6 linked regions of the Nothobranchius furzeri genome follow. The protein of the gene in region 6 binds, or shares a complex with, the protein of the main gene of each other region. Links are inferred from orthologs where the notes say so. Each region holds a gene or a part of one and is shown on either strand. Other genes may lie near its edges.

Region 1 (4,074 bases), on a different chromosome or scaffold from region 6:
TTTTCGCTCCGAACCGTTCTTTGAACGTTGTTTCAGCTGTCATCAAGGATATAAACGTTACAGATACAAAGGACATCACTGGCGCTTTAGCTCACCTATTAAGATGTTGGACTCTCGTGCAGAAGACCCGGGTTCGATTCTGGATGTAAACATAGTTTAATTAGTTTCTTTTTTACATTAATGGTATATTTTTTACAGTAAGATACCCAAATTTTTATTTGAGACTCGCCGAACGGCATTGAATTCACAGATAAAAAAGATGTGGGTTCAACTTTCATTTTGGAACAATTTTTCAAGCAAGGGAAGGGAATGATCTGAGCATGCAGGAGGACTGACCCATCATAAACCTTTGTCGGCTGTGCTGAAGAGAAAGGTACAGAACCACATTATTTAATTAATTAGCTGCGTGTTCTCCTATCCTCTGTCCTCCGGGCCACACACACACACACACACACACACAAGGGACTGCCTCAGCTGTTATTTTCGTTAAGGAGTGTGCACGTACAGCATGCACGCCTCGTGCACGAGCCTACTATTGAAGCTGCCGTTACGCTTTTGGCCTGAGGGGGGCGATCGCGAGCATAAAAAAAGCATCAAACCTCTGTAAAGTCCCTTTAAGGACAGTTATTTTTGTATTATATGTATTTAGGGGGTGTTTTTTTTTACACAAATCAAGAAAAAAAAGTGCCTTTTCAAATAAAATGTATTCATAAATCACCTTAAAAACAAACAAAGTGCAACATAATAAACATCATACAAATGACCAAAAGAAACATTTAAGTTAAGCTCTTTATCATTTTTTACACCAGTTAAACTCAGATGATCATATCTGAAACGTGCACTAAAACTCAAGACGGGGACAGCCAGTGCATTCACAGATGTCAGTACTTTGTGTTCAGGTTTGCCTTTTACTAACTTGTCTTTTAAAGGTGACCAGCACCAACCCCAGGTTTGCCAAAGTCCACATCCTGTATGTGGGTTCCACACCGCTGAAGGACCGCTTCAGAGGGACCATCAGGTAACCTCACTACGTAAATCCAGTTTGATTAACTTTCCTAAACTCTTAGCTCACTCTCTCCGTATCTACAGGAAAGAAGACGTGCGAGCAACAGAGAAGGATAAAGTGAGCTAGAATTCGTACTTTTACTTGGATTGTTTACTTATTTTTGCTCCTTCTGTTTCCTTACTGATGGTTCTGTTTTGTTTACAGGTGGAGATATACAAAAGCTTCAGAACGGGCGACATTGTTTTGGCTAAAGTGGTATCCTTCAACAAGCTCTCCAAGAAAGAAAACCAAACAAATTTAAAAGCTATTTTCAGCTCATAACCCAGTTTCATTGGGACCTGTAAAATTTGCTGAGCTGAATGGGACAAAATGAATGAATGAATCTTAGAAATGACAGCAAACAATGTTCACATGTTACTACTGACTCCGGTGCTTCAGTCTGAACGTTACTGATTACTAATCTTGACCTTTGATGTCAGATTTCTCTCGGTGACATTCAGTCTAACTACTTGTTAACAACAGCTGAGAATGAACTGGGTGTGGTGGTGGCCCACAGCGAGGCAGGTACGTTCCTCACCTCTTTCACTTCATCTTTCCAAACTAAACAGCTGCTCAGATCTGACCAGCTCACTCAGGTTCTGCAGGAACAGCAGGGGGTCCAAAGTGGGAGGAAAAGATTTCTGATTAGAACTTAAGTAACATTATTAACTTCCATAATGACAGCATTACTGATTAATTCTCTAGTGTTATTTTCATCATAGCTAAATATTATTACTCTCAATTTCCGACCAAATGCAAAGATATTATCTATCTGATTTAGTAGCTAATTATTTGCGCTTGAAAACATTTCTTATCGTATTTTCAAGGTTTGAAAAGTGCTTAAAATTGGCCAAAAATACTTTAAGCTTCTTAAAAATGTAGTTGAATTCATTTTGTAAATCATCAACTAATAATTATCTATTTTTAAGAACTATTTTATTCAAAGATATTTCTTTATCTTGTGTCCTATGTTATATAATAATAGAGTTAAATAAAATATAACAATAATAAAGAAAAAAAATTTGGCCCTCACCATCTGTAGAGCCGCCACCAGGGGGCAGTAGACATGTATAGGACTAAATATGGCAGGTTTGTAGCAAAGTTCTTCACTGCACTTCTAAATGTACATATGTGATCTTATGGTAATTTTTTCGAAAAAAAAATAAAATAAAATAAAAAAATTACTCTTGAATGTTTAGATTTTTTTCTAACAATTCTTTTAAAGTAATTGTTCATTGTTTTTTGTTCACATACATGTTTTGATGTGTAGGCCATTAAAAGCTTCAGCAGAACTTGTAGCATTAACATTCATTCATTCAAGCTGCCTTTAAATAAATAAAATAGATTTCTAAAAGTAAAGTACTGGTTTCATGTGTGAAATGGTTTCAGCTTGAACACATAGCTGGAAAGCCTCAAAAATTCTCAACAGGTCTAAATTGGGCCATGGTGGCAAAAGGGTTAAGTGCTCGCCCCGTAATCGCAGGTTCGAGCCCCACTCAGTCTGTCGTTGTGTCCTTGGGCAAGACACCTAACCCCCCTTGCCTGCTGGTGGTGGTCAGAGGGACCGGTGGCGCCAGTGCTCGGCAGCCTCGCCTCTGTCAGTGCGCCCCAGGGCAGCTGTGGCTACATCGTAGCGCATCCCCACCAGCGTGTGAATGGGTGAATGACTGATTGTGTTGTAAAGCGCATTGGGGGGTTCCAGGACTCTAGAAGGCACTATATCAAATACAGGCCATTTACCAAATTTGCATTTGGAAAAAGTGTAAGAGCCTTTTAATATTGCTGACATGAAAACAGGTGTTTTCCGTCGTATTTTCCCTACTTTCTTTTCTTGTAAATAACTTCCCATTTTTCTGCATGTTTCTAACATTTTTACCACATTTTCCCCTGAACCAGGAGCCCAGATGATTCCCATCAGCTGGTGCGAGATGCAGTGTCCGTTGACTCACGCCAAAGAGTTTCGTAAAGTGGCTCGAGTCCAGCCTGAGTATTTGGAAGCGTGACAGCCTGGACAGTCTTCACTTGGTACACGCAACTTCCATCTTCCTTCAAGCAGCTCCTGCTCCAGCTTTTGTTTTTCTGTGCATCATGTGATTCACGGGCCACTTCTGGTTTAAGTGTTTCAAACAGCTGCACATTTTGTCATCCTTTCATTGTGCTTTTCTGACTGGTAAACAATAGCAGTTAGTTTTTTACCAGCAGACCCAAGAACACAGAAGTTAAACATGATTTTTATTTTTGGAAAGGGCCAGTAACGGTAGCTGGAAGAGCTCTACGCTTTATGGTTCGTCACAAATCGTGCTGGTGTTTTGCTGTCTTGGGCTTAAAGCTGATGAAGACATTTGTTCACTGTTGGAAAGCCCAGCGCTAAACCAAATGTTTGATGCAGCTACAGCGTAGAAAATAATGAAACGTTAAGTTACCTTCCTGTATATAACTGAGTCAACCGTACATAAGCCTTGCCTTTTACGAAAATGTACTTTGCTGTTTAACTTTCAAAAGTACAATAAATTAAAATGACTGATTCTACTTTGTCTGCAGTTCCTGCTTTGTGCACCTAACTATTCAATTGTTTTCTACAATCCTTCAAATTAAACATTTTGTAACTTACTGAACATCATAATTCATGTGTCACATTTAGAATTAAATGGCAAACTTTGGTTTTGTAGATTTATTTTTCAAAACATCAAAATGTATCAAAGCCATTAAAACTAAAATATTCACACTAACAGAGGCGTTGCTTTGAATTGTTTTACATAATCCGGTTTTGACACTGATGGTTTCATCTACATTTTGTACAACTCAGCCAACATTCGATCACCTCTAAAGTGAAACTAACGAGACTGAACTCATTTACAACGCTGATATAAAAAAAAAAGGTTTATCCAAACATCCACCTTCCTGATCAGTCATCAAAGCGAATTGATCGACTTGCATTGACATCAATGAAGAACTTTTTATTGGGTGGGGCGTTAAACCCAAGCCCCGCCCCCTTTTTACTGAAGTCCATTCTGCGTGAGTGGGCTCGC
Region 2 (4,273 bases), on a different chromosome or scaffold from region 6:
CTTCCAGCATTCCTTCAACTAGTTCTTGCCCAGTTCCATTATCAGAAGTAGCGCATCTAGCGGGGGCTCATAGAGAGCGGTATGTTAACTAGCTTACCAACGTTAGCTTACGTTCTCTCTGCAGCTGTTCACCGATGTAAACATGTTGCTGACTTTGCCTAAATCCACCCCTCTGGATTTATAACTTTATGTTGTAAACAGCGTTTCACTTCACACCAAAGCAGATTTTTAAAAAGTCTGGATCTCTACCAGCTCCTGTTGCTGGTGGTGTTACCGGGTTCAGCTGCTGCTCTCACATCGGAATGAGATCTCTGAACGCTGAAGCTCATATAAATAAATAAATAACGTAATTTTAACACATGTAATCATACATCGGAGCTTTAATATTGTTAATAATTGTCTCGCTTTATACAACAGTGGACGGCGCGCGTCATCCGGGGTGAAATACCCATCCATCAGGATTATCAATAACTTGTATGAACACATCACCTTTATCCCTGTCCCTGTCTTCCTCGTGAAATAAATGAACATTAATCTTACCCGGTAAAAACATGTTCGCTGCAAATCTGAGGGCTACTTCGCTTAATTGATCACTGCAGTTTGTCTCCGTCCTCAGTCTCCCATCAAATTTATTAAAAAGAAAAAACGAGTTGAGTTTATGTCCTTGTCTCTTAGTGCAGCCGACCATGCAGCAGGCTAAAACCATTTTACTGTCAAATCAACTAAATAAAAGCGATAAAAGGCTACAAACTGGCTTGTTTTGACCAGCTTCACTGGGGATTCTACAGGTGTAAATGGTATTTTTGCCGTCCGTCATGGCGAAGGGGGCGGTCACATGAGTGGCGTGAGGTCACGTGCAAAGGGTCAATACCCAATACTTTAACAGTCTCAAGTTGCTTTTCTCTCTAAGGCTGCCCCGTTCCTCCAGGAGGAATTCTTAGAGCATTACATGTCTGGATGTGTTAAATAGATTATGTTTAATAAGTATTTCTTCACAAACAGAGGTGAGAAGTCAGGTCAGAGGGTCAAATTTTCATTCCTTAGGAAGCTTTTCCTTCTCTTGACATAAAAATACTTTGTGCCTTTAGGTAAATTCATGTAGTTTATCATTTATGATGTCTTAAAATACTAGATCATGTCTCACAAAACTGACCTTTAATAGACCCAGCAAGGTTTCTCAAACAAATCACTTATTATGTTGAACTGCTTTACTCACACTTTAACGCTCACACACATCTATCAAAATCAAGTCAATAAAGTTTATGAACAACTTCTCTTGACTGGTTCTGAATGTACCTCCAAACTGGTGTAGAAGCCCCCAGCTTCCTCATCCTGTTGTCCCAGCGTGGGATACAACCACACAAAGCCATTATTACCAAGGATTATAGATGCACCACATGGAAGATTGTGGAAATGTGTTTTCTGCCTCTTGATCAGAGAAGGAGAAATCTGGACCAGCACTCCTTGACCCAACTGACAGTCAAAAAGAATTGAAATAAGATTGAGATTAAAATTATTATTATTATTATTATTATTACTACAGATTATTTTCCCACAAAAGAAGCTTTTTATAATTAGGAACGTGTTAGTGTAAAAATTAGTGGGATTACTCAGTGTCACTGTGTGCTATAACTTACTTTTCCATATTTTAAACTACGAGTGTGAAGTGAGAGTGCTCCATCTGAAAAAACAGACTGCACTTCTGCCTAAAAAACAAACAAAAGTTCAAACCCAGTCAGGAATAAAAAAAAACTGGTAGTAAAAGTTGGTCATTTTGAATCAAATGTGTCTTACACTGATTAGATCGCCTTCCTGGATGTATTTTCTCATGGTGAGCTCGTCTTCTGCAGATCTTCGTCTCTAAAAGGCAAAATCAATCAGTTTAGCAAAAGTAAAAACAAAAATCTCAACCAAAACATATGAAGCTACGTTCTACTATCTCACCAGTTCTCCTCCAGGCAGATTGACAGATGACAATAAGAGGACCGAATCTAGTCTGGAGTTGGTATCCACCTTCCACCGCTTCTGTTGAACCTGAATTTGAAAACATCCCCATTCTGAAAACTCTTGATGAAAGTACTACATCTTTTTACTGTTTTTAGATCACAAAAACATTTGTTCACCTCCGTGATCCTGCCAACAACCACATCTCCAACCTCACCGTTAAATCTGTAATTCACATCAGAGTTATAGGACTGCATTTAGATAAAAGCAGGACACATAGCAAGTGAAAGCAGTGCAGAGGTAAATGATGTTTCATGGCTCTTAAATTAATGGCGTACCTGGTCTTTAGAGGTCTGACGCAGATTAGTTTGTCAACTCTTTGCACCTTTCCTGCAACTGAAGCCGTTAGTTTATCATCGTCGACATATGTTCCATGACCCCTGTGAGAAAACGAGGTAAAGTAATGGTTACCAGGCCTTTACTCCCAGGCTTCACAGTAGAACCAGTACCCACCTCATGAAACCTGTGTCTGAGGTGATAACATCGCCGGGAACTACCAAATCTTTCCGGTATACAGCGGGAGCCGACAAAGTCATTGTTTTTTTAACAGTCGGTAATCTCATGTCCACTGCCATGCTTGTTTCTTCTTACTTTTCCCGCTCGCGACAGAGTCCACAGGGCTTTACTTCTATGTGCACACTTAGAATAGTGAAGAAAATTTAAGAAAGGGTTTCCTCCCCAAAGTTAACAGTCGTTTAAAAACCAACTGGCTCAACAAGCTACAAAAATGGACAACAATATAACTATAACAGACCATGCATGTCTGTGATGCTAGGTAGCACACTCTCCTACTTCTGCTCTGTTACGTAGTTTGTGAGACCAGCTAACGCCCCCTACTGGTACGGAGTAAAAGCGACAGAAATTGATGTTTTGTTACTGCTCTCTTTCCGCCAAATAAAGATCAATGCAGTACTACTGACTCAGCCAGGTTCAGATTAACAAACAACTCAATAATAGCTAAATCATTCCACTTCTGTGATCATAAGATTCATCACAGTTTTACTGGTGGAATCTTATAAGCCCGCTTTAATTGTTAATTCAGGGCTTTTATTTCTTCTTTATCAATTTCACTTCCCTCAGTTTTTGTTTACTTTGCAGAATTTGTGATTTTATTAGGCAAGGTAAAAACATATTCCAGAAAAATATACAAAAACAGGATAATTAGGGTTGGACTTTTTAAATAAATTCAAATTTGTTTTCATGAAAGTTTGTACAAAAATATATAGCCTAGAAAACCATCAGATTGCACCCAGCCTTTACTTTGATTCATCCCCTGGAGCATGCATAGGTCAGACAACAGTGATGAGGAGGATTTCACACTTGGATGCAGACTCCTGGGGGTTGTTTCCTTTCTAGAGCTTTCTTAAGTTAGCTCAACAATACAGCCAAACATCAATTTTTTTCTTTTCATGTTTACAGATGTATGCCATTTAAATTAATACATTCTCAGCTCAATCCAGTATTTTTTCAACTGTAATTAATGTTTTGATGAGTTCTTAAAATATCTATAATCCCAATGCCATCCCTATAAGTTTATTGTGGACTCTTAAAAATACATATATATAGTATAATGCAAGATTATTTTTGCTTCAGCAATTGACGGTCTAGATTCTAGGCTAGGTCAGAATCTTTTTTATTGTTTTGCTCTCAAATTAATTTTTTCAAACACCCCAACCCAGACTTATCTCTGCAAATAGCTTTGTTTTATGGAACTCAAAAGTATTCAAAATTCAATAAATAAATAAGACATTATGAAATAAATGTCTACATGAAGAAATACTAGACAATCATGTAATCTGACAATGAAATGATGAAATAACAGAATGTTATGTAAAATCTAAGTTCAATATTATGAAATATTTTTCATTCTTCTTTTAAAATGGCAGGTCACACCCACTGGTTTGACTGACGGACTGAGACATTCTGCTGTAAAGTCTCATTATGAAATAAATCAGCCATGGGAAAAAACACTATTAAAAAGAAGTTATGTAATAAAAACTGAATGAATTAAATTAAAATGGCTCAATGATCATTTGGTTTATTATGAAAAAAATGACTTTAGAAATAAAACTTTATATTAATAAAGATATTTTAAAAGAAGAAGGATTTCCTATTTCCACCTTCAGAATATTGCTTAGATTAGAAGCATCCTTTCCAGGAGTGATGCTGAAAAACTAGTTCATGCATTTATTACATCAAGACTGGATTACTGTAATACATTACTCTCAGGAAGTCCACAGAATATAGTTAAAAATATTCTGCTTGTCCA
Region 3 (4,227 bases), on a different chromosome or scaffold from region 6:
TTTAAGACTTGTTGGATTTGATCTGTCAGGTTCCCTCCAGGCACCAAATTCACCTGCCTGAGACTGCAGCTACATCATTCCATCATCTCAGCTTTGAATTCCACTGGAATGATCCTTAGAACTAAAATCCACTGTTGGATGTTTAAACACAAGTTCTAAAGATCAAACACATGTCTCCACAGTGATGGCTCCTACCTGTCATGAAACTTTTAACCAATAAGTCACCCTGTTCCAAACAGAAATAAAGCTTATTTCCACCAAAGTTATAAACAAGTTAATGAATAAAATGAGTAAAATATGATGAGGGGGAAGCCTACAGCCCCCCCTTCTGGAGCTTCCTGAACTGTTCCCGTCTCTGCGGTGCTGTCAGGGTGTCACAGCTCTGCAGGAGATTGGAGATGATCAGAGTCTGCTGGATGGTGGATGCTCGGACCCAAATCCGACCGTTCATTCCCACCACCAGCTCACAGGGGAACAGCTGTTCCAGGTCAGACCGGATGTCACTTTGGGGGGCCAGCAGCCTGTTAGGGAGGGAGAAACGAGAGCACGACCAGAGCTGTTACCATGTCAGAACTCAATGTTGGGTCTTTGTAACAGATTAACTTTGTCCTGTTGATAATCACTCACAGATACATGCAGGAGTTAAGAGGCTCTTGTTCTGATTTAGAACAGCTGCAAGACACTCACAGAAGCTGTTCTGTCAGAGGATTCTTTATTACCCAACACTGGACTTATGAGTCAGAATAGGCCACTCCCTCTGGCACATATGGTTCAATTAAAAATGGAACTAAAGACAAACTGACCCAGTTCTCAGACAATGACCTCTGCTTCAGTTTCAGACAAATTCTCTTTAAATAACCTGGGTCTTGTTCCAGAACCATCAGGACTAAATATGTGGTTCTGTGAGAACTTCACACCTTTGCAAGTAAATTGATGTCTGTAGATGAAACCCAACTGTAACAGAACCCGGCCTTTGACCCAGTCCTGATACTCATCCAGAAGCTCCTGCTGGTTCAGAGTTTGTCAGTCAGAGAATGAAAATGTTGGGTAATGTTACCTTCTAACGAGGCCCAGAGAGACTTTGAGGAGCAGACCACCTCCTCCGAAAACACCCATCCCGTTGGCCCGGCCCGATCCGTCGATACACACCAGCTCTGGTTCCATGTCTTTATTGGCTACAGTGAACTGAGCGAACACCAGGTCTCCAACCTGCACAGGGAACACACAGAGGGCAATACATAAGCTGATCTGGTCCAATAAGGACAGGGCACCAAAGTACTGATAGTCCAGAGGGACCCAAAAGGTCCTGAGCCATCAGACATGCAGCATTCAAACACACCATGTAGGCACAAATCAGTCAGGTGAGAAAATGAGTCTCAAAAGGATTTTTGCACTTGTAAACTGATCTGTGTGTAATGTAGTTTTGTCCGTGTGTACTAAGTGATTTGTGTGTGTGTGTTTATTTAATGATCTGTATGTGTAGGAACTGAAGTTACACACGAAAATGTAAACAAGTTACAAATCAAGAGTTATACATGCTTAGATCTATCTACACACACACACATCTAGATACACACACACATCAAGATACACACAGACACAGATTTTTTTGAGACTTTTTTTCTTCCCATAAGACACCCAGCATGACTAAACGATCAGGTGTACTTCCTGTTGGTCCCGACACGTTCCATACTGGGTCAGCGTAAAAACAATACATCAGAACTCTTCTTTCAATCCTCTACAGTGATCATATGTGTGTCTGTGTGTTGCATGCTTGTGATTTTGGGGTCACAAGGGACACAGAACTCCTAAAAACAGCTGACGGGTCCCCCAAATCTGGACTCTAAACATGACTCACTTGTTTCAAGTAGAAAAAAACTGTCCCCTGAGTCTCACCTGGACATTGGGTCTGTTCCTCTTTGTAGCTCCTTCAAAGGCCAGATAGGACAAAGATGCCTGCTCACTGCCTCCAACGTCCACCTTAAAGATGTCCCCAGACTTGGATGTCACAATACCAATGACCGTCTCTGCTTTGGCTGGGACATACTGAGGACAGAAGTTTCAGGTGGTGAGTGGATAGAACATGCTGCTTGTGCCAACGTGACCAGTTTACCTTTCCATAATCGTTACCGGATGAAACAGTATAAAACACCACTGCAACATAAACCTAACTTCACCCTAGTTTAGTTTTGTAGAAAGTTTCAAACTTTGACTTCCTTCAGACTTCCGGTACATTAACTTTTTAATTTTATATACGATCACAACAAAGTGTATAGAACAATAAAAATAACCATTAACAAGGAAACGAATATTCAACAGATTTGAATATGAAATAGATAATAAATGATAAACTTTAGGGTATAAAAAAGTTAACACATCGCAAATGTATGGATAGGGGGACAAATAACTAGAAACACATGTAATTTCCGCCGGGTTTTTCATCAGTGAGAACTCTGAACCTTGTCTATTAGCTCTCACGGTTCTGTTCTGACAGGTTCGGCCGCGAGTCCAGTCTGGACCGGTCGGTACCCACCCTCCACTGCTGTGAGTCCATCCAAAACGTGTGCGGTGGTTTGTGCCTCAACACGCCGCTCTTGCTCACCACCAGCCGGTTTCCGCTCTGCCGCAGCCCCGGTCCACACACCGGCCGCTCTGGCTTCACATTGTCTGTTAGAAAAATTGTGTCCTCAGACTCGAAGACAAATTCATCTCCAGGTAAAAGAACTTCACCGATTTTCTCCTTCAGACTTGAAAACATACCGCTAGCTAGAAGAAGTCTGGACCTCTTGGTTCTGTTCTGGTTCCGACTCAGAGCGCCCCCTGCTGCTCAGGAGGAGATAGACCTCCGGCTCAGCTCGCTCCCTGCTGCTCAAGAAGAGAACTAGACCAAACTCTTGCTTTGCAATAAAAAATATAAATAATATATTTATTTAGTCTGGCTAATTTCTGAATACTGAAGGAGATCCTTCTGGAGCTTTGCCGTGATTTGGGACCCTTTATGGAGCGGCAGACAAACCGCATGAATCTGATTCCAGTCCACACTGAATCTTTTAAAACTATAGAAGCGACTGACCCCAGAACCTCCTCAGCGTTTTTATCAGTAAGGGCATGTCTAAGTGGGCTATTGACACAAAATTTGCTCCAGATGTTGCTATAAACCCATATATGGAATTCACACAAAGAAATCAGGAAGTACAAGGTGAGTTATAATAAATAAAGTGAAATGACAGGGAACCGGTCACTCTGAATTTTTCATGCAGGCTGAACATGAAAACAGTCTTCTACACCTATCTCCTGCATTAGCTTCTGATAGAAAATAGACTGTGAAATGCTAGGATTTGAAAATCCTCACATATCTATGTCACAGTGTGAACTGGCCGAGCCTATCTTTGCTCGTGCATGCACAGGATGGCTTTTTTAACTTTTTTACAGTGAGGAGAGAGAACGGAGAGTGTCTTGGTGATAGTCACTTTGTAACATGGCTGAACATGTTCTGTTAGCCAGTCAGAAGAGAGGTGCGTGTCAGTGGCGTGTCCAGATCTTTTAAAATGGGGTGGCCTAGGTGATGCACTACTTTGTGCATGGGTGGCACCAATGGTTATGCTTTTTTACATTTTTTTTACCCCAAGCCTTTTGTGGACAATGAAAAGCCTATTTAAAGGGAATTCAGTGTGGTGGCACCTGGGGTGGCCAATCAGATTCCAAGGGTGGCATTTGCTACCCCAGGCTACTCCCTGGACACGCCCCTGGTGCGTGCATATTTTTAATAATATGAGTATTCCTGCTGTTTTCAGCCCACCTCAATGATTAAAAAGTTGGACATGTCTCCTTCACCCTCCATCCAGAAAGCAGCTAAGTGTTATCTTAGATGTTTCCATGTTGTTAACTAGGTACTTTTAGGATTTAAAAAGTCAAGAAGGGGGTCTGAATAGCTGTTAGAAATAGCAACAAAGTTGCTAAGTGGGCAACACTGTGGGGGTGAACACTTGATTTGCAACTCGGAGCAGTGCAAGAGGAAGGAGCAAATAATCGGCTTGTTTTGTTTTCATAATCGTTCAAAACTTAAGTCATAATTGGGAATAAAATTTGATTAAATGTGCAGCCCTAGTAGAGATTTAAGAACAGGGAGTGATGTGTCATGTTTTGAGGGATGTGTCTAACCCAAGACATGCAGAATCAACCATGAACACAGAATGATAGAAAAAATAAGATTTATTTTGGATAAAT
Region 4 (4,095 bases), on a different chromosome or scaffold from region 6:
TTTATGATTTGGTTCTCAGATGTTTTCTGAAAACCAAACCTTTGTCCACTGTGGGGGAACTGGTTTCTACAGCAGGAAGCCCGAAGCTCTAAGAGCCTTGGTGATATTTTTTTTCAGATGATCAAGAAGAAGACGGGTCTTGTAGGTAACGAGCTTCCACGGTTACATATTTCTACTTTCGGAAGACTTTTCTCTGCCGAGGCCCTGTGGAGTGAGAGGACATTTTAAAGAGAATTTCGCATGAGGCTGCCCTTTAAGCACAGATTAGCAACACCAAGCCGTCCACGTGTCCACGACGTGAAAATGCAAATCTGATCTTGGGGAGTATTCCGGCGCAGGGCTCACGCGAGGACTCAGAGTCATCATGCAAGACGGCGTGCGTTTGTACAGCAGATTTTCAAAAGGTGTTACCTTTTAACAAGGAGCCATGAGCATATTCTTACATGAATTAAGACATCAGCTAAGTGTGCGTGAGACATTTCTGGACACTGAAAAGATAATTTTTTTAAGTCTTTGTCAGCAGTTTTATTGTTATTAAAAAAGAATATATATTGACAGTGGAAAATACAACTTTTAGATAAAAAATGTTGTCTGAGTGTATTTATTGAGCTGTCTTCATGCTTTTTATGACTTTCTCAATAAGTTTGTGGATCTCTCCCTTTCGTGCCGTTGCTCTTTTGATGCACTCCTGCAGCTTCTCTCCCGACAGTGGCGTTCCACCTGGAGGCAAAGTTTGCAGAGCCTTTTATCCCCGTTTTCTCAAAATACTCAAAATAATCTGAAGCTTTATTTCATGGCAGAAGCACCACAAATCTAAAGATCACAGATGTGCCATCTCTGACCTGGTTTATGTAAGGAGCACAGCTGATCTTCCTCATCCATCACCACAGTGAGGCGTGCCGTCGACAGGCTCTCCTCCTCGGCGGTGGGGTCTACGATCAGTATGGAGCTGCACAGGAAAACCAAAAAGGCTTAAAGAAGAACAAAATGGCACTTGTACCTAAAATAAAAATTGAATTGAAATCAAACAAACGTACTCATCAAAGATGCAAAAGGAGACGCTGACTGGATGTCGGTGAATGTTAAGTTTGTGTTTCTTTTCAAAATTCACCTCCGGGGCGGACGTCTCTTTGTTGATGGTGACTTCTGGGAGTTGTGCTGCAGGGAAAGATTACTAAAAGATAGATTTATTTTATTTATTACATGCACCGTTTCAGTAAAGTCTCAACCCTACTTACTGGTTTTCAGGGCAGCCAGAAGGGCGACAACACAAGCATCTAGGATGTTCCCGTCATAGTCGAGACACATGATGTCACAGTAGAGGACCCAGCAGAGCTGCAACAAGATTTAGCAGAATTATGATTGAATATATTACAACAAATAAAGTCCACACATGAGTCTAAAATCACCTTTCCTCGGCCAATGCACAAGTCTTCTTTCTTGATCACCTCAGAGCTGCACGACACATGAAGGTTAAGTCAAAGCAGTGGCAGAAACACTACAGCTGGAAACTAAAGGTGTTTGAAGGCTTAACACACCTCTCAATGATATCAGCGATGAACTGGCTGGCAGCCTGGGCCTGTTCCCCTGGTGGGCCTGGTCGGAAGCGGGACGAACACAGGGGTGGCAGGTCTACATTGGGCACTTTTTTAAAACATATATAGACAGATGATGATGTCATAATAAAATACAGAATCAAACAGAAAATACGAGATAAAGAATTAAGCAATGAAAACCTGATGGAAACAAGGAGGCTGTAAAATGTGTTCAGAACTTACCTATGTAACCTTTACCAGGTGCATCCACAGTAGGGTTAGTCAGCTCCTGCATATGAACACATGACTTTAACACCTAAAGAAATCTTAGCAGTAGCGGTTTGAGTCATTGTGCACCAGTACCGCTTTGATGCCACAGATGATCGTGGTGTTTCCCAGCTTTACCAGAGCGGAGCCGTCTGCAGTGGAAATAGACCCTGAACAGAAAATAAGTAAAAACTGTTACAGCTGGCAGTGATCAGCCCTTTAGGCACTGGAAAATGTTGGAGTTGAAAAAATATGAGCCGACTCATTTTGTATTAGAAGTACATATTATTTTATTTACATCATATCTAAAATTATGTTTTATTACAGGGAGGAAACATTTAATTTATTTTCTTACCAATGTTTAAGGTTGTACTTCTAAATTCAGACAACTCCCGCCCATCAGGTCTACAATTTTCTTTCTGCAAATGAAGCATTTGCAATTACAATGACACTAATAACAATAATAATAACATTTATGGGTTTCTACTGGGTATAGTTTGTATGTATTTGACGAACCAAAAAGCTCCTGTGATACTCCAGAGGCTCCGCCGTCCTGAAAGTTTAAAGAAATTAAATAAGACAAATTAGTAACAAACACGTGCGATCCTGCAATAAACAGCAGACCGATAAATCTAACAAATAAAGTGTACTATCCCGTCACTAGCCCAACTGACGTCACAGAAATGTTGTTTCTGTATTTTTTGACAAGCAAACTAAATTTAGATATAACACTGAACATTAAATATATCGATGATATATATTTGATGAAAATCAAAGTCTGAATATAAAGAAAAATACATGTTAAAAATGACTTACTTGAAACCAGCCGCCATGATGTTTTGATTACCCACGTGAACTACGGTGGCCGCGACGAAACTGTGATTACCAACGACAAGTGTGCATTACCGCCACCAACTGGACTGGAGTTCGGAAATGAACGAAAAACTGGCCAACAAATTCGTCTTTTTCAAAAATGAGTTGGTGTTGTAAGGTCAATAAAACTTTCAAATTGATAACCGGTCACAATTAATAAAGATTAAATAAAACTCGATATATTAATTTGCTAAACAAACAATATTGTAGTGTTTAAACAATTGACAGTGAATAAATATTCCTTACAAACTCCTCTTTCCTAACCGAACAATCCAGAGCAAAATTGTGGATTCTCTTATGTCTTCAAACTGAACTTTTTAGTTAGAATGGTTTGGATCATTCTTTTAAAATACAAAATTAAACTGTTAAACAAGTCATGTGTTTTGATGTTGGTGTGTGTGTGTGTGTGTGTGCGTGCGTGCGTGCGTGCGTGTGTGTGTGTGTGTGTGTGTGTGTGTGTGTGTGTGTGTGTGTGTGTGTGTGTGTGTGTGTGTGTGTGTGTGTGTGTGTGTGTGAGCAGTGCATGCATGGCAACTCGGTTTTCTGATTATTTTCTGCTTTACTGTTTTCTTTACTCAACCTCAAACGAGCAGTTAGATATCTGAAGATTGTCTTGGTCTGTTGATGTTTTGTTGCATTAACCCTCTGATGCATGAATTATGAAATCTTCAACCATGATTTTTTAAACTATTTTTTTCATTCATCTTTAGGTGTGAATGAAACAAATTTCAACAAATATTTTTTGTACCATTTTGTTAATTTACAAATACTTTATTACATGTCCATCTCAGTGGACAATGTGCATTCTGAACATGAAATATGGTGGCTTGACTTACTGAAGTCCAAATGGAAGGGCTCATATGCAATAAAGTCTTCAACAGCTGTGCTTAATAGCAAAAATAAATAAATAACAATTTTGAGTAACTGTCCACTGTAGTGACCGTTATGCACCAAAGGGTTAAGCAGCAAAATAAGCTCAGTTTTTGTGCTGGAGCAGGGAAACAAGTAAAACATGATGGATATGGAATATCGAGGCCCAGGGTTAGAGAGGTGGTGTAAAAAATAGGCGTCATTGCTTTTTAACTTCACTAGCTGGTGGGCCGGTCTCGGCTCAAAACGAACTGGCTGATTTTTTGTCCCAGTCCAGCCCTGTTGGGGACCCATGGTCGGAAATAGATGGGTGTGACTTAGCTTCCCATTGAGCGTGAGACACGTGTCTGACCCCTTTCACACACCTCCTCGTGCATGGAAACCATCACAAGTTGGCAGCCCTGTAGAAAATAACTTAGTTCTCTTGCATTACTCACCTTCTGTTATTCTATCAAAGCTGTTATAACAAATCTGTTAGTAAGCTGGGTTTTGAGAAAAAAAAACACTGTCACAATACACACTCCTCCCCTGCAGGAACTGGCAACTCGTG
Region 5 (4,068 bases), on a different chromosome or scaffold from region 6:
TCAGACTAAAGAACTCTGAAGCAACTGTCGTGCACGGCAGAGGTGGTGTCATGTTGTGGTACTGGTGCACGGAACAAAGAGAAACGGGAGGAGAGATGACTGACGGACAGAGACATTTCCATGCTGCTAACTCTTTTCTCTTGGAGGGACAAACCCTTAAAAGCATCTAAAGGTCACAGACAAGGGTCGATTCTAGATTATATTAAAGTGACAATGTGTAGTTTTTACCATTAATCTCTGGAAATATCCATTGAAATGTTGTAAATGAATTAAAAAGTGCCCAGTTGTTGACAAATAGTGGTTGTTTCATAACATGCAGTGGGGCAAAAAAGTATTTAGTCAGCCACCGATTGTGCAAGTTCTCCCACTTAAAATGATGACAGAGGTCAGTAATTTACATCATAGGTGCACTTCAACTGTGAGAGACAGAATGTGGAAAAAAAATCCATGAATTCACATGGCAGGATTTTTAAAGAATTTATTTGTAAATCAGGGTGGAAAATAAGTATTTGGTCACTTCAGACAAGGAAAATCTCTGGCTCTCACAGACCTGTAACGTCTTCTTTAAGAAGCTTTTCTGTCCTCCACTCATTACCTGTATTAATGGCACCTGTTTGAACTCATTATCTGTATAAAAGACACCTGTCCACAGCCTCAAACAGTCAGACTCCAAACTCCACTATGGCCAAGACCAAAGAGCTTTCGAAGGACACCAGGAAAAGAATTGTAGACCTGCACCAGACTGGGAAGAGTGAATCTACAATAGGCAAGCAGCTTGGTGAGAAAAGATCAATTGTGGGAGCAATTATCAGAAAATGGAAGACATACAAGACCACTGATAATCTCCCTCGATCTGGGGCTCCACGCAAGATCTCATCCCGTGGGGTCAAAATGATCATGAGAACGGTGAGCAAGAATCCCAGAACCACACGGGGGGACCTGGTGAATGACCTGCAGAGGGCTGGGACCACAGTAACAAAGGTCACCATCAGTAACACATTACAACGTCAGGGAATCAAATCCTGCAGTGCCAGACGTGTTCCGCTGCTGAAGCCAGTGCATGTCCAGGCCTGTCTGAAGTTTGCCAGAGAGCACATGGATGATACAGCAGAGGATTGGGAGAATGTCATGTGGTCAGATGAAACCAAAGTAGAACTTTTTGGTATAAACTCAACTCGTCGTGTTTGGAGGAAGAAGAATACTGAGTTGCATCCCAAGAACACCATACCTACTGTGAAGCATGGGGGTGGGAACATCATGCTTGGGGCTGTTTTTCTGCTAAGGGGACAGGACGACTGATCCGTGTTAAGGACAGAATGAATGGGGCCATGTTTCGTGAGATTCTGAGCCAAAACCTCCTTCCATCAGTGAGAGCTTTGAAGATGAAACGTGGCTGGGTCTTCCAACACGACAATGATCACAAACACACCGCCCGGGCAACAAAGGAGTGGCTCCGTAAGAAGCATTTGAAAGTCCTGGAGTGGCCTAGCCAGTCTCCAGACCTCAACCCCATAGAAAATCTGTGGAGGGAGTGGAAAGTCCGTGTTGCTCGGCGACAGCCCCAAAACATCACTGCTCTCGAGAAGATCTGCATGGAGGAATGGGCCAAAATACCAGCTACTGTGTGTGCAAACCTGGTAAAGACCTATAGTAATCGTTTGACCTCTGTTATTGCCAACAAAGGTTATGTTACAAAGTATTGAGTTGAATTTTTGTTATTGACCAAATACTTATTTTCCACCCTGATTTACAAATAAATTCTTTAAAAATCCTTCCATGTGAATTCATGGATTTTTTTTCACATTCTGTCTCTCACAGTTGAAGTGTACCTATGATGTAAATTACTGACCTCTGTCATCATTTTAAGTGGGAGAACTTGCACAATCGGTGGCTGACTAAATACTTTTTTGCCCCACTGTATAGCCATAAAAATTGGGTTTAAAATGCATAGGAGTGGGTCTAAGTCTCTGGGTGACACAATATTGGATGCCATGTTTCCTTTTACGGAAGCCCGTGAGGACAGAATGCATTCACTGATTTGTAACTAATAGTTACAAAACTTTCAGCATTAATAAACGTTGTTCTTTTACATGTTTATCTCTTCACTCATTGCAAGGGATGAAAGGGAATCTGATGTTCTTGTTATTTTGATGAAGGTTGCACTCCCAAGGATTTTTGACCCTAACAGTTCCTCGTGTTGATTTTAGAGACAACATGTTAGTCAGTATTAGAATCATTCAGCAGCTTTCATCACATTACCAAACCCCAGAATCACCTGGTTTGCCCCAGATCCACAAAGCAGCATCCATAATCAGTCCCAAAAGTGATTTTCAACTTTCTGTAGTCATAGGTCTGTCGTCCATCGAGCCGCTAAAAGACACGAACAAAAAACAGTAAACAGAACTTTAGCTAGTTTCTTCAAAAACAATAGTTGGAACTTGGAAAATTAAATGACTTAATTTCGGTTACAACGTTTTTATCTTAAACATTTCTGTGACAATTTTGGTGTGAATTCTCACTTCTAAAGATACAATCATGAATAGAAGCACGGATTTTTTTCAGTTTTTCCATTCAACGTTCTGGATGTGGAGGTTGTTTTCTTAGCTACTTTGATGATAAACGTTTTAAAACGCACCTTTTTCTCTTCGATTGCTCTCAGTAAGAAGTCTCGCTCGCAGTTGGAAAGCGGCGTTTCTTTCATGATTGTTGTTATTTGCTGTTTCTGGTGAAAATCAAATTATTCTCAACTGACATGCGGGAACCACCTATTTACGCAATTCGCGCATGCGCGACGAAACAATATACGGCTTTACCGTATGTCGCAAATGAACCCAAATCTTTTTTTTTTCTTTTTTTTTTAGAGAAGATAACATACAAACAAAATGCACCGTACATTATATATTCAAACGATAATCATTACATGCATATTAAACATTTTCACGTATATGAAAAAAAGAAAATCTAAAGATGGGGTCACATAATTAACAGATTATTAACTTACTAACTCAAAATCTTCTACAAAGGAAATAAACAAATCTGCCTTTTTCTTTTTAACTAAATTCAACGATTTAATTAATAATTTTAAGTCGTTTTTCCAATAGGCTAGTGTTGGTTTGGTCTTAAAAATTGACATTTATGTATAAATTGTTTGCACAAAATTAATAACACATTAACACCATAATTAACTTTCTTTTTTTCAAAAACACTCCAAACATTGTCATATTTAAGGTAAATGGGGCAATTTGAATCCCACTAGAACAAAGCCAGGCATGAAAATCTAACCAAAATATTTGTATAAAGTTGCACAAAAAAAATTGATGGTCTAAGTCCTCCTCTTCTGTTTCACAAAATACACAATTACCAGCTTCTATATTGAATCTATCCCCAAGGAGTCTATTTGTTGGGTAAATGTTATTCAAAATTTTAAATAGGACTTCTTTCCCTTTAGGAGCGATATGTGAACCCAAATCTAAATTTGTTTGTAACCAATCATGTGAACTGATGTGGACTAATCTAATGTGTGTGTTGGTCGTTTATTTTATCCGTATATTCATACATGCGATTTTAACTAGACTGATATTCGTTTAAATGATAGAAGTAAGTACAGTGGGGCAAAACGTGGCTGTAAATGAATATTTTGTTCAGTTTGTTGGCTAAACACATAAAGAAATGACACCAATTTTGGATTTTCTTTCATTTAGTCTATTAAGTGTTGCGCTTCGAGTGTAAGCATGATATAAACAGTTGAAGGGACGAAAAGAAAAGGAGCTTCTACGTGATGCTTTCACAGAAACCCCCCGATCTCCAAATCGCCGGTTAATGGGATTTTATTCGGATTCAACGAAAAAGCTTTATTTTCCTCGAACCAGGTTTCAAATAGCATAAATCACAAACAATGAAGTTCGTTGAAGAAATACGGTGCACAAACCGATCAATTTTATGACACATTTTGCACATTCGGAACCTCATACAATTTACAATCAAAAATTAACGAATTGAAGGAAATTAACTGCCATTTTAGTCTGTTTTATATCTAGTTGTTTGGGTGTTTTCCAAATGAACATTTTG
Region 6 (3,261 bases):
CAGCGCACCAGGCTAAAGACCAAAGGTGACAATGATTTGCTGCTGTAGACCCCAGACTCTGAAACTCTCTCCCCCTGAGCCTGAGATCAGTGGACTCAGTGGTCTCCTTCAAAAAGAAGCTGAAAACTCACCTGTTCAGGCTGGCTTTGGTGTTACCTTCATCACTCCCTCTCCTTATTCTGCTCTACCAACTCCACCTCTCCCAGGATCCACTGATTTTCTTCTTTCTTATTCATTTTCTCTTTCCCTTTCCTTATCCTTTCCTTTAATCACATATTTTTTCTCATTTTAACCATATCTTCTAATCATTTTATCTATTAATATTTAAAATGTATTTTTCTTGTGAAGCAACTTGTGATTTTTATCATGAGGCGCTATATAAAAGATCATTTTCTTTCTTTCTAATAATTACTATTAATGATCTGTTATTCAGAGTTAACAGAACTAACAGAGACTACATGTCTATCGAACAAGAGTCAGGAGAAAAATCAAAGAGAAGATTTCCATTCACACATTTATAGGTCTGGTTACAAAAGGATAAAGAAATGCAATGAAATATTATAAAATAAAGAAAGAGTTCAGAGATTCTCAGTCCAAACGGGCTCCACTTCATAATTCATTACTCTCCGGTGAGCACCGATGCTTCTTGAAGATGCTGCCTCACCACCTCATCCAGCACCTTGCTCACACCTTTACAAGCTGTCGTTGCAGCTTCAATCAGTGCTTCCAGGTGATCCTGATGCAGCCTGGCGTCCATCTGAACCAGAGCAATCTGTCCTCCCCTGGGAAGCAGCGCCAACGCCAGAGAGCTGACTCCTCCGCTCTCCTCGGCGTAGCAAAGGTCAGCGAGGGGAGTCTCATCCACAAAGCCCACGGTGCAGGCGCACACGTAGTCTCGCATCGGGATGCCAGCATCAATCACAGCCAAGGTGGCTGCATTAACACACACACTGTAGTTCCCACCATCTGACTGCAGAATCTGAAAAATACAAAACATCTTCGTGAAAAAAAGGAACTGCTGTCTTTATTAACATGAAAAGAGAAACTTAAAGAATCTAAGATGCACCTTGACATAAATGTCTATTTGAGAGCGCGGGAAGAGCTGGGTCATCACAGCAGCTTCAAACGTTTGCTTCAGGTGGAGACTCATCTCGGTGGATTTACGGTCTCCGTGCGGCCTCCTCTTCCTTTCTGCGGTGCTGAATGTGGCCATGCTGTACTGGCAGTTAATGACGGCTCGATCGTGGAGAGTACGACTTCTTGAACCTCGCATCTAGAGGGAAGAATGAGATGAAGAAATACAAAAATAATCACGACTGGACTTGTTTGATTTTAACATAATTCCTAAAAATATGCTAATAGAACTAAAGTAAAATTAAAAAAAATATCTGGATGTTGAAATGTCCATTTTTTTTCAAGACCAGGAGTCCCTAGGTTTCTGGAAATATGTGCAACATTAGATTTAAGTTTCTATTATTATTATTATTTCTCAACTGTAAGGTTACATCGACAAATACATTTCTGGTGGGTTACCACATTTGAACTTTGATTTCATATTTATAACTAGTGATTTGCATTCATTATTCTTTCATTCGCTCCAGTGTATTTCTAATTTAACCTCCATGCTGTAGCATTCTGCTCTATCACGTCTGATGCACAGTAAACATTGTAAAATATTATTATGATCTCACTTTATTATACAAACACTAATAGGCGCGAAGATGTTGTTAAATCTAATACTAGGAAACATATAGTACCGCCTTTATATGGTTATGTGTTATGAAGTCCTCCAAACATTCGTGACGTTACATACCTCGTGCGGACCGTAAACCACAGCCAGAACTTTGGTGTTTCCCTGTTCCAGGTAAGCGGAACCGTCGGCCTGAGCGAACACACCCAGGCGAGCCTGAACTTTCCGCAGTTCGGTGGCTTTCCTTCCATCCAGGCGGTATCCCTGGTCCGACAGCAGCTCGATGCCCGCCATGTTTCTGCAAACACCCGCCTCACGTGTTCAACGCTGCACTACATTACCCAACAGCCTCTACCAGGGACAACGGCAAGCTCAAAGCGGGGGGAAAAAAAGCGCACGAACGTTTCCGTTCCATCCGTCCATCCTTTTTCTGACATCTGGATGGATGGATGATCTCATTTAAGTATAATAATATAAATAAATATCTATGAAAATATAAAGTCAAAATTCAAAACACAACCACTTTCTACATTTTATTTTTTATATTTAGAAAACAAATTCTAAAAAAGGGTTTCAATGATCCAAAACCAGCAGATTTTGAATTCCTGCAGCTGGTTTCCTGGTTTGCACATTTTCTATTACCCTGCCCATATTTCATTATTAGGTTTCCATTCATGCTCTCACTCCTTGTGAACGTTCTGCTTCGGTCTTTTACACAATATCTTTTAAAGGCGGTAAAACCAATTCAGTTTATAAATAAAGGGAACACATGAACACATCCTAGATCAGAATGAATGAAATATTCTTAATACTTTGTTCTTTACATAGCTGAGTGTGCTGACAACAAAACCATATAAGAATTATCAATAGAAATCAAATTTATCAACCCATGGATATCTGGATTTAGAGCATCGACAGAATTAAAATGTATAAACACACTACAGGTTTGGGCTGGGCAATAAATCGAAAATTTATCGTCATCGAAATTTCAGACTCTTATCGAGATAATTTTTCCCATGTCAACAAATTTAATAATAAAATAATGAAAAGATGTGTGTAGGTTGGCAACATTCCTGTCCCTTTAAGATGCCGTACCACCTGGAGTCAGGTAAAAATGTGACTAAACGTGATACACGTGACAGCCCCATCTAGTGGACCACTCTTGTTTCTGCGCATACCTGTAGTTATCATCCATTTATCGTTATCGAGGTGAAATCCTCAATACATCATGATATTGATTTTAGGCCATATCGCCCAGCCCTATAGGCTGATCCAACTTTGATGTAATGGTCTCACAAGGGGTTTGATGATCTCATCTTGGTACCTAATGGCAGTCAGGCAGCCTCTGGCGAGCACATGGAGGGCTGAGCTGCCCACATCCTGTTGCTGAACCTAGACCTGACCAACTGCAGCAACCCCAGATTATGGTACTGCCCCCACAGATTTGTACAATAGGAACTAAGTGTGATGGGTGCATCACTTCATCTGCCTCTCTTCTTACACTGACGCACCCATCCCTCTGGAACAGGGTCCATCTTGACTCATCAGACCAGTTCTAAACCCAGTTTCTG

Evidence for each region.
Region 1: exosc4 (region 6) and exosc1 share a complex: the UniProt entries of both Homo sapiens proteins name them as parts of the RNA exosome core complex. The link is inferred for Nothobranchius furzeri from reciprocal best matches to the Homo sapiens genes EXOSC4 and EXOSC1.
Region 2: exosc4 (region 6) and exosc2 share a complex: the UniProt entries of both Homo sapiens proteins name them as parts of the RNA exosome core complex. The link is inferred for Nothobranchius furzeri from reciprocal best matches to the Homo sapiens genes EXOSC4 and EXOSC2.
Region 3: exosc4 (region 6) and exosc3 share a complex: the UniProt entries of both Homo sapiens proteins name them as parts of the RNA exosome core complex. The link is inferred for Nothobranchius furzeri from reciprocal best matches to the Homo sapiens genes EXOSC4 and EXOSC3.
Region 4: exosc4 (region 6) and exosc8 share a complex: the UniProt entries of both Homo sapiens proteins name them as parts of the RNA exosome core complex. The link is inferred for Nothobranchius furzeri from reciprocal best matches to the Homo sapiens genes EXOSC4 and EXOSC8.
Region 5: exosc4 (region 6) and exosc9 share a complex: the UniProt entries of both Homo sapiens proteins name them as parts of the RNA exosome core complex. The link is inferred for Nothobranchius furzeri from reciprocal best matches to the Homo sapiens genes EXOSC4 and EXOSC9.

The regions. Positions count from the first base shown.
Region 1 is NC_091746.1:82,291,581-82,295,654, reverse strand, and holds the end of exosc1 (exosome complex component CSL4), read left to right. Parts: intron 1-929; coding exon 930-1,018; intron 1,019-1,089; coding exon 1,090-1,123; intron 1,124-1,210; coding exon 1,211-1,261; intron 1,262-1,485; coding exon 1,486-1,570; intron 1,571-2,941; coding exon 2,942-3,048; 3' UTR 3,049-3,574; downstream 3,575-4,074. Other genes in the region: knop1 (lysine-rich nucleolar protein 1), read right to left, coding at 3,951-4,074. UniProt on the Homo sapiens protein: Non-catalytic component of the RNA exosome complex which has 3'->5' exoribonuclease activity and participates in a multitude of cellular RNA processing and degradation events.
Region 2 is NC_091746.1:53,646,459-53,650,731, reverse strand, and holds the start of exosc2 (exosome complex component RRP4), read right to left. Parts: upstream 2,801-4,273; 5' UTR 2,580-2,800; coding exon 2,458-2,579; intron 2,385-2,457; coding exon 2,283-2,384; intron 2,170-2,282; coding exon 2,124-2,169; intron 2,035-2,123; coding exon 1,945-2,034; intron 1,861-1,944; coding exon 1,795-1,860; intron 1,707-1,794; coding exon 1,638-1,706; intron 1,474-1,637; coding exon 1,297-1,473; intron 1-1,296. UniProt on the Homo sapiens protein: Non-catalytic component of the RNA exosome complex which has 3'->5' exoribonuclease activity and participates in a multitude of cellular RNA processing and degradation events.
Region 3 is NC_091741.1:64,434,378-64,438,604, reverse strand, and holds the start of exosc3 (exosome complex component RRP40), read right to left. Parts: upstream 2,801-4,227; 5' UTR 2,759-2,800; coding exon 2,534-2,758; intron 2,047-2,533; coding exon 1,897-2,046; intron 1,210-1,896; coding exon 1,058-1,209; intron 522-1,057; coding exon 314-521; 3' UTR 1-313. UniProt on the Homo sapiens protein: Non-catalytic component of the RNA exosome complex which has 3'->5' exoribonuclease activity and participates in a multitude of cellular RNA processing and degradation events.
Region 4 is NC_091750.1:62,637,160-62,641,254, reverse strand, and holds exosc8 (exosome complex component RRP43), read right to left. Parts: upstream 2,701-4,095; 5' UTR 2,636-2,700; coding exon 2,619-2,635; intron 2,356-2,618; coding exon 2,319-2,355; intron 2,222-2,318; coding exon 2,158-2,221; intron 1,973-2,157; coding exon 1,899-1,972; intron 1,825-1,898; coding exon 1,779-1,824; intron 1,645-1,778; coding exon 1,539-1,644; intron 1,456-1,538; coding exon 1,410-1,455; intron 1,336-1,409; coding exon 1,239-1,335; intron 1,159-1,238; coding exon 1,038-1,158; intron 950-1,037; coding exon 843-949; intron 721-842; coding exon 602-720; 3' UTR 501-601; downstream 1-500. UniProt on the Homo sapiens protein: Non-catalytic component of the RNA exosome complex which has 3'->5' exoribonuclease activity and participates in a multitude of cellular RNA processing and degradation events.
Region 5 is NC_091746.1:81,910,903-81,914,970, forward strand, and holds the start of exosc9 (exosome complex component RRP45), read right to left. Parts: upstream 2,801-4,068; 5' UTR 2,702-2,800; coding exon 2,636-2,701; intron 2,371-2,635; coding exon 2,276-2,370; intron 1-2,275. UniProt on the Homo sapiens protein: Non-catalytic component of the RNA exosome complex which has 3'->5' exoribonuclease activity and participates in a multitude of cellular RNA processing and degradation events.
Region 6 is NC_091751.1:51,169,413-51,172,673, reverse strand, and holds exosc4 (exosome complex component RRP41), read right to left. Parts: upstream 2,041-3,261; 5' UTR 1,985-2,040; coding exon 1,814-1,984; intron 1,274-1,813; coding exon 1,067-1,273; intron 980-1,066; coding exon 620-979; 3' UTR 501-619; downstream 1-500. UniProt on the Homo sapiens protein: Non-catalytic component of the RNA exosome complex which has 3'->5' exoribonuclease activity and participates in a multitude of cellular RNA processing and degradation events.